Linked DNA regions of Callithrix jacchus. The protein of the gene in region 1 binds, or shares a complex with, the protein of each later gene. Links are inferred from orthologs where the notes say so. Each region holds a gene or a part of one and is shown on either strand. Other genes may lie near its edges. The genes, in order: TNNT2 and TNNC1.

What was found.
Region 2: the proteins of TNNT2 (region 1) and TNNC1 are in contact, whole or in part, in a crystal structure (PDB 1J1D), measured with the Homo sapiens proteins. The link is inferred for Callithrix jacchus from reciprocal best matches to the Homo sapiens genes TNNT2 and TNNC1. Residues at the interface, in NP_001263274.1 of Homo sapiens: Gln266, Tyr269, Asn272, Val273, Asn276, Arg277, Asp280; in NP_003271.1 of Homo sapiens: Asp99, Phe101, Arg102, Asp105, Ala108, Asp109, Gly110, Tyr111, Arg147, Tyr150, Asp151.

The regions. Positions count from the first base shown.
Region 1 is NC_133520.1:28,374,045-28,377,845, reverse strand, and holds part of TNNT2 (troponin T, cardiac muscle), read left to right. Parts: intron 1-141; coding exon 142-219; intron 220-765; coding exon 766-876; intron 877-2,120; coding exon 2,121-2,230; intron 2,231-2,770; coding exon 2,771-2,861; intron 2,862-3,801. UniProt on the Homo sapiens protein: Troponin T is the tropomyosin-binding subunit of troponin, the thin filament regulatory complex which confers calcium-sensitivity to striated muscle actomyosin ATPase activity.
Region 2 is NC_133516.1:34,982,500-34,986,400, reverse strand, and holds the start of TNNC1 (troponin C, slow skeletal and cardiac muscles), read left to right. Parts: upstream 1-1,580; 5' UTR 1,581-1,606; coding exon 1,607-1,630; intron 1,631-3,149; coding exon 3,150-3,180; intron 3,181-3,426; coding exon 3,427-3,573; intron 3,574-3,814; coding exon 3,815-3,901. Other genes in the region: NISCH (nischarin), read right to left, coding at 1-15. UniProt on the Homo sapiens protein: Troponin is the central regulatory protein of striated muscle contraction. Tn consists of three components: Tn-I which is the inhibitor of actomyosin ATPase, Tn-T which contains the binding site for tropomyosin and Tn-C.

The DNA.
Region 1 (3,801 bases):
CATTGGAGGCCGGGCACCACTGCTTCAAGACTCTGGGAGGAACCCCCCAGGAATTCCCTTGCCACCCCATGAAGTTTCCTGTTCCTGCCACATCACCTTCTCCCCATGTACACCTGCACGGGCTTTGCCTCTTCTCCTTAGGAGAGACGTCGGGCCGAGCGGGCCGAGCAGCAGCGCATCCGGAATGAGCGTGAGAAGGAGCGGCAGAACCGCCTGGCTGTGAGTGACGCCCAGCCTGGGCCCACAGAGCCCCCCACCATGCTCCCAGCTCCTGCTGGGCTCCCAGGCCCCTCTCTATTCATCAACATGAATTCAATCAAGAGACAACATCAACCTAGGAAGTGCTGGGCATTGTCTTGGCTCCGATAATACATCAGCAAACAAGAGCGGAATGGCTGGTCCTTATGAACATGTGGTTTGATAAGACTCTCCAGTCCTCACCCCTTCCCCAGTGCAGACTGAAGGCCCTGTAGCTCTCTTCCTGTGCAGCTGCTTAAGGCATTTCCAGAGCAACAGATCTTCCTGGGGCACTCCCAGCTTGAGGGGATGATGAGACCTCGCATTAGGGCATCAGGACCTATCCATTCGTGCCATCATTTCTCACTCAGTGGACTCCTGTGCTGTGCTGGGAGCTACCCCCTCAGAAAACTCCTTACCCAGCAGGGAGAAGGCTGAACTCACCCATAAAGACCAAGAGCTTCAGCCCAGAATTACGGTTTCCCATCCTTTCCCTAATTTGCTTTCTTCCTCCTCCCTGTAAATCAGGAAGAGAGGGCTCGGCGAGAGGAGGAGGAGAACAGGAGGAAGGCTGAGGACGAGGCCCGGAAGAAGAAGGCTTTGTCCAACATGATGCATTTCGGAGGTTACATCCAGAAGGTAGGTGGGGAGCAGCAGGGGTCCCCAGGAGGACCTGGTATAGCCCTGAAGAATGAGCTGTCCACTGCAGCAGGTAGACTTTAGATCAGAACCCAGGAAGAGATTCCCAGCTGCTGCAGGTGGGAGACTAATGTCTCCTCATGCCTAGGCCCTGAGCTGGTTTTCAGCCTGAGTGTGGCTTGCACTAGGAGGGGCCTGCTAGGGTAGGGGCTACAGGCAGAGCCTGGAGCACCAATGGTGCACCACATATCTGGCCCCAGCAGTGCTCAGGAGCCCCCAGGGAGGATGGGTGCAGCTGGAAAAGCCTTGTGCTAAGAGTCAGAGCTCTGGCTGGAGAACCCACTCTGCCACATACAGTTGCGTGACCTTTTGCACCTCTGAGCCTCGGTTTCCTCACCCGGCACTCATTGCCTCGATGGTTTGAGAAGCTCAAATGAGCTACCATGGAAAGTATCTACGTGCCACACAGAGGTTGTTTGTTCTTGGAAACTCACTCTCAGTCCCTAATTTTGTGGGCCATTCTTCCTACATCCTCTGTTCCTAAGGGAGCAGGGCTATGTGAACTTGATTTTCTCTAGGTAGTGATGGAATCAAAACATTTCCTTAGATTTCCAGCTTAGTCCCCAGCTCAGAACTAGGCCACCCCTGCCTCTGCCCCCATGGTGACCACACCAGCCAAGACTTTGGCATCATCACCCCACAGAGGCTGCTGTGAACCCCAGACCCAGGTCCTAGTAAGCCCGGCTGCCTACAGCGAGTGTCTGAATCTTCTCTTCCGTATCTCTCTTCCCTTTGTCTTCCGCCTTCTCTCTGTGTCTCTGTTGCGGTCTCGGTCTTTTTCTCTGGGCCTCTCTCTCATGGTTTCCCGGTTTAGCAGGCCCAGGTGGGTACCAAAACCTCAAACGTTCTTCCTCCCCGTAGTTGTCCGGAACTCCCTGGGAGGGGAAGGTGCCTTGCTGGAGGGGAGGAGTGTAGAGATTGGGCTGGCTGGGGAGGGGGGAGGCTGGTGAGAGGTGGAAGAGGTTAGTTAAGTAAAGGAGGAAGAGGCTGACGTGATCCTCCTTGCTCCTGCCTCAGTTTCCCCAGAGAATGCATGTAGTTGGTAGTGCGTGGTATGGCAGGAAAAAGAGCGTAAGAACCTGGCCCTCCTGCAGGCTTGCTCCACACCCCAGAGGATTCGGGGAGGGTTAGGGGACAGGGAGGGGGCAGTCTAGCCAGTTTTCTCTGCTTCCCACCCCCTTTAGACAGAGCGGAAAAGTGGGAAAAGGCAGACTGAGCGGGAAAAGAAGAAGAAGATTCTGGCTGAGAGGAGGAAGGTGCTGGCTATCGACCACCTGAATGAAGATCAGCTGAGGTGGGGGCTGGGAGGAGTGGTCCTGGGGCACAGCCCGCATCTGGTGGGTGTGTTGGGGTGGGGGTGGGGGGGGAGTTGGGCTGAGGGCACTTCTTGCTGTGAGCCACCAGAGGGCGCAACTGCCTCACATATTTTCCCATGGCAAGTTTGGAGGGACCAGCGCTGGGCCCCCCAGCAGGTCGGGCCGGCTCCTTTCTGGGCTTTGCTGATGGGCAAAGAGAAGTGAGCAGGTACCCCATCTCTCTGAGCTTCATCTTCCCCACCTGCACAGGGGTGTCAGGACGGGGGTTGAACTAGATGCTGTCCTGTGCCAGAAGGGCTTCTCCTGCTGCCCGCGTGTTCTCAGAACTTTACCCTGGCAGCCCCTGGTGTCTGTTCCTGAGCTGCTGCTGGTCCCCAGGCTGGGCCAGGCCCAGGGGGTGGGCTGGGGTACCCTCGGCAAGCCTGGAGGCGGGAATGGGGGCTGGGACCCTTGGGGCTGGGCCAGGACCAGGACAGCGTCCCATGAGGGCTGTTCTTTACCAGCCCTTGCCCCTGCAGGGAGAAGGCCAAGGAGCTGTGGCAGAGCATTTATAACTTGGAGGCAGAGAAGTTCGACCTGCAGGAGAAGTTCAAGCAGCAGAAATACGAGGTGGGGCGCCATGCTGTTCCCCCCACAGCCCCTCTGTCACATGCTCCTGGTTCACTGGGCCGAGCAATACTGCTGCAGGTCACTGGGTCCCTGTCCCTGTTCCCCGCCAACCCCCTTCAGCTCCTGCATCTGCCCCTGCTGTCTGGCCTTCAGCAGGGTTCCGTGTCCACCGTGTTGGCGACTGCTTGCTGGAAGTGTCTGAGAGCTTGCTGGGGCTGAGCAGAGACACTTTCCTGGGGTTCCAACCCTGGGAGTCTCCAACATGTCAAGGCAGCAGCTCAGAGCAGTGAGCTGGATACAAGAACCGGGATGCACCAAGCTAGGAGCCCCAGTGGAGGGGGAGGGCTGCCACCGGGGAGGCACTTCTCCCCACGGACACCCAAGGCCCTGGTGCAGGCAGTCAGGCTGAGCCTCAAGTGCACAGCCTTTCAGGGTCCTGTGTGCACTAACTAGGGTCCTAGGTGAACAAACACCAGGCAAGGAAATGGCTTAGAGGACACTGATGCTGCACACCTGAGCTCAGAGAGGCGCCAGCCCTTCCCTGCCACCACCGCCTCCAAACCCCGCCCTGCCCGGGGCCTCTTTGCTAACTAAGGGAAGAATTCAGCTTCCCCTGGAGGGTCTCCTCTGCTGCTCCTGCCAAACCACTCCTCCCTGGGCAAGGAGCCCCTCCCTGGGTAGACTCAGGCACCAGTGGCTGGAGGGTGCTCCTACCTCCCAAAACGGAGAGAGGCTGTATTGCCTGGCCACAGTGGCATGGACTTCAGAGCCATAGTGCCTGGGCTGAGTTTCTACCTGTGCCCCTCACTGGCTGTGTGACCTTGGCTGAGTTAGTCCACGGTTGCTTGCCTCCATTTCCACAGGTAACACTACAGCCTACTTCGGAGGGTGATGGTGAGGGTGACAGAGATAATAATACTCATTATTATCATTATTATAG
Region 2 (3,901 bases), on another chromosome or scaffold:
GCGCGCCGCCGCCATGTTCCGGGTTCCACCGCCGCCGCCGCCCGGCGCAGACAGGCCGCAGCAGGGGGCGGGGTCAACGTCCCACCGCCCCCCAGCCCCCGTTGCCCCACGCCCCCACCGCGCGCTGTGCCACCATCTTAGTCCGGCCGCCTTCCAGAGCCTTCTCCCCGCCCCTCGTGCGTGATTGACAGGCACCGCCCACGGCGCGCGTGCGCAGCGCTTTCTTGCGTAATCTCTACCTGCGTGGGGCCACCAACGGTACCCTGCGCAGCCTGCTAGAAACTGACCTCTCGGGTGGTGACCGCTCTGGGAATCGCCCCTTAGTCTCTCAGGAAGAGAGGACAGAAGGTCCCGAGCCTCCAGGCAACACGAAGCAAGTCACTGCTCCTCCTGGCCTCAGTTTACTCCTCCGGATAAAGGAGGCCATAATGGCGCCTCACTTGGCTGTTGGGCTCTTTCTCTTTAGGGCAAGACGGGCTGGAGGTGGAAATAGAACCTGTGCTTATCGCTGGAGTAGGGCGAGAGTGATTCTGGGCCGGTTCTGAACCTCTCCGAGACTCGGAGAGCTCTTGTCAGTGGGGCTTCTTGACAACGGAGTGGGTTGATTCATGCGGGGCCTGGCATGCAGTAGTGCTGGAAGCAAGGAACGTGTTTATCAAGACGGGGCTCTGTACGAAGGAGGGCGGAGACGGAGGTGGGAGGGGTGTGTGCTGCCAATGGGTACAGGAACCTCACGGGATGGCCTGTCAGAGTTCAAAACAGGAGGGAGACACGTTGACCTGGACCCACGAACTACAGTGCTAGAATAGGGAACTGAGTCCTAAACCAGGGGAAGATGAGACCTAGAAGAGGGAGGTGGTAACCTGACTGGAGGGTGAGGAGGGAGAGAGCCTGGCACAGATGGGGCATCTGTGGGGGTGCTGTTGAATTACAGAACAGCTGACTGAAGCCCGAAGGGGGCACTTCTCCCTGGGCAGATGGAAGGTCTGGGGCAGGCGCCTCTGGCAGAAGGGCTCCTGACTACCCTGCCCTAAGGTGGGTTAGCATCGTCCTCTGAGCTTGGGATTTGAGGCTTATCTTGGCAGGGCCCTGTACTCCCAACCCCCACTTGCACGTTGCACCCCATTCCAGAGAGGCTGAGTTAAAGGCAGGGGCTATCTTGGGCAAGCCACCACTCTTCCAGAGCCTCAGCTTCCTTATCTGGAAGGTAGGGGTCATAGCACCGGCCTCCCTGGTTGGTGGGAGCCTGGGCTGCTGTGTTGCAGGGGCCTTGCCTGGGGCCCACTACTTTGTGGCTCCTGTCCTGCCCTGGGCTCATGCTTTCATTCATTCCAGAAACCTTTTCAGAGTCCCTTGGGGAGTGTGGGGGACAGGAGCGAAAGAAACCTGGTTCTTGTAGCACTTCATCTGCTCCCTGCCTTGGGCAGAGGACGCAGGGACTCAGGCCAGCCTGACATCACTGGGCCCAGAGGAGGGGCTGGAGGATACTACACGCAGGGGTGGGCTGGGCTGGGCTGGCTGGGAATGCAGTGTGGGGGGGGGGGCAGGGCTATTTAAGTCGAGGGCCGGCTGGCAACCCCAGCAGGCTGTCGTGTGACCCACCAGCATGGATGACATCTACAAGGCTGCGGTGAGGGACAGGGCTGGGTAGGGCTGGGTTGGGCAGGCCCACTGGGGGCTCACTCATCTCAGAATGGGGGGCTGGTAGCCCCAAGGAAGCGGTGGGGGCCCAGGAGAGAGTCTCTGTACCTTCAACCCAGGCCCTCACAGGGACAGTGGTTCTGATGTTTGAAGATGCAGAAGGGGTAGGGGCTCAGGGTCTGAAGGGAAGCTGGTGTTTGGAGATGCAGAAGGGGTGGGAGTTGAGGTCTGAAGGGTGGTGGAGGAGGTCGCCACTTTCAGCATCATGTCTCACTCTGTTTCTAAGTGTCTGTAGTCTGTGGCACTGTCTCTCAGCCACATGTCTCTGCATTTGTCTCTGGACATTTTTGCCTTTCTTTTTTCATCTCTCTTCCTCCTAAGTTGTCTCTCTGAGTCCCTATTACTGTCTCCCTGTCCCCAACCTCCATTTCTGCCCCTCACATTCTGCTTCTCACACACTCACAATCTGCCACTCCACTCCAGCCCTTTGGTTGGTCGAAGATGCTTTGGAGGGTGGAGGGTGTGAGGGGAGGGGCCTGAGTCCTGGGCTGGAGATGGGGCTTTGAAGTTCGAGGCAGGGAAGTTTTGGACATGAGGGAGAACCAAGGAAGAAGGGACAGAGAACTGAGGCCCCAGCCCCCATCGTGCCTGGCAGGCTCAGGGCTCAGTGGCTTAGCTGGGGGTGAGAATGAGGGAATGAGGGCTAGAGAGTGGTCACCCCAAGCCCCTGCAGCCTCCTGGGTCACTGAGGGACTTGAGATGCTGTTCCATTCCTGGATGCTGGTGACCTCCCACTACCCCAGAACAAGGACATCCTGGCCTGGGTAGCTGTCCCCAGGGGAACCCCTCCCTCAGCCTCCCTCACTTCTGGGCAGGGAAGGGCTACAGCCAGCTCTGGGGGCATGCCTGCTTATCCTGTGGGAGTCCATGAAGCTGGGGTGGGGGCAGCCCTCCACCCAGTGCCCATACAAGGCCTGGCGGAGCTGGGGACTAATTTTGGCTCCTGAGGCGGCACTAGTAGGACAGGGGGCCAGATAACACTGCCCCACCCCCTGCATGCCAAAGTCCCCAGAACAATCACCAGGTTTAACTTTGTTCCTCGTTAAAAATAGCCCAGTGGCCACCCTGGTCAGGTTACAGTGGGTAGCTTGTCTACCCCCACATTGGTTTATTGTCCCAACTTGAGGGACAGCTGTTCCTTGGGCCACCCAGCTTGAGTTTCATCACGGGCCAAAAGGGTATTGAGTGGTCACTGACTATTGTTACTGAGGGTCACCTTGGCCCTGAAGGGGGTGCCCACCTGTCACACTGGCCCTGAGCCCAGTCTTAGTGAGGCTAGCTGGGGCACATCAGGGCTTTGTGGGGAGGGAGGGAGGACTGAGACCTCTGTTCTGTGGCCTGGAAATAGCTTGCTTTCCCCAGCTGCAGCTCTCACCTGTGGAATGGGTTGGTTTCAGCAGCAGCAGCTATGTGTGAGGCTGAGCCCTGAGAGTCCCTTTCCTTTCTAGGTAGAGCAGCTGACAGAAGAGCAGAAAAATGGTGAGAACCCCTATCACACGTGCGGGAGACCACCAGGGCCAGGTTGGGAGACCAGGCTGGGGAACGTGGGGACCCCTTACCAGAAGAGGAGCACAGACCAGAGACCAAAGGCTAGGTCCCTCTGCTCTGATCTCAGAGAGGTCTCTGAGGGAGGTGGGCAGGTTGGCAGGTGGCCCCAGGAGTCTGGCCCTCTGAGGTCCTGGCTGTTGAGCCCTGGCTATTGTGCCCCCCAACCTCTGTACACAGAATTCAAGGCAGCCTTCGACATCTTCGTGCTGGGCGCTGAGGATGGCTGCATCAGCACCAAGGAGCTGGGCAAGGTGATGAGGATGCTGGGCCAGAACCCCACCCCTGAGGAGCTGCAGGAGATGATCGACGAGGTGGACGAGGATGGTGAGCCCCTCCTCCCCAGGCTCTAGAGGAAGCCCAGCCAGCGTGGGGCTGGGATGCTGGCTCTGCTTAGCCGGAAGTGGTTTAGCCCCTCCGATCCTCAGTTGCTTCATCTAGAAAATGGGCATAATGGCCACAGAAGCCTGGCATTTGCATCCTCACACCAAATGCCAGGCTTCTGTGGCCACTCTTTGGGCTTGAGTCACCTGCAGTTTCCAACCTGGCCTCTGTAACTGCCTCCCAGGCAGTGGCACAGTGGACTTTGATGAGTTCCTGGTCATGATGGTTCGGTGCATGAAGGACGACAGCAAAGGGAAATCTGAGGAGGAGC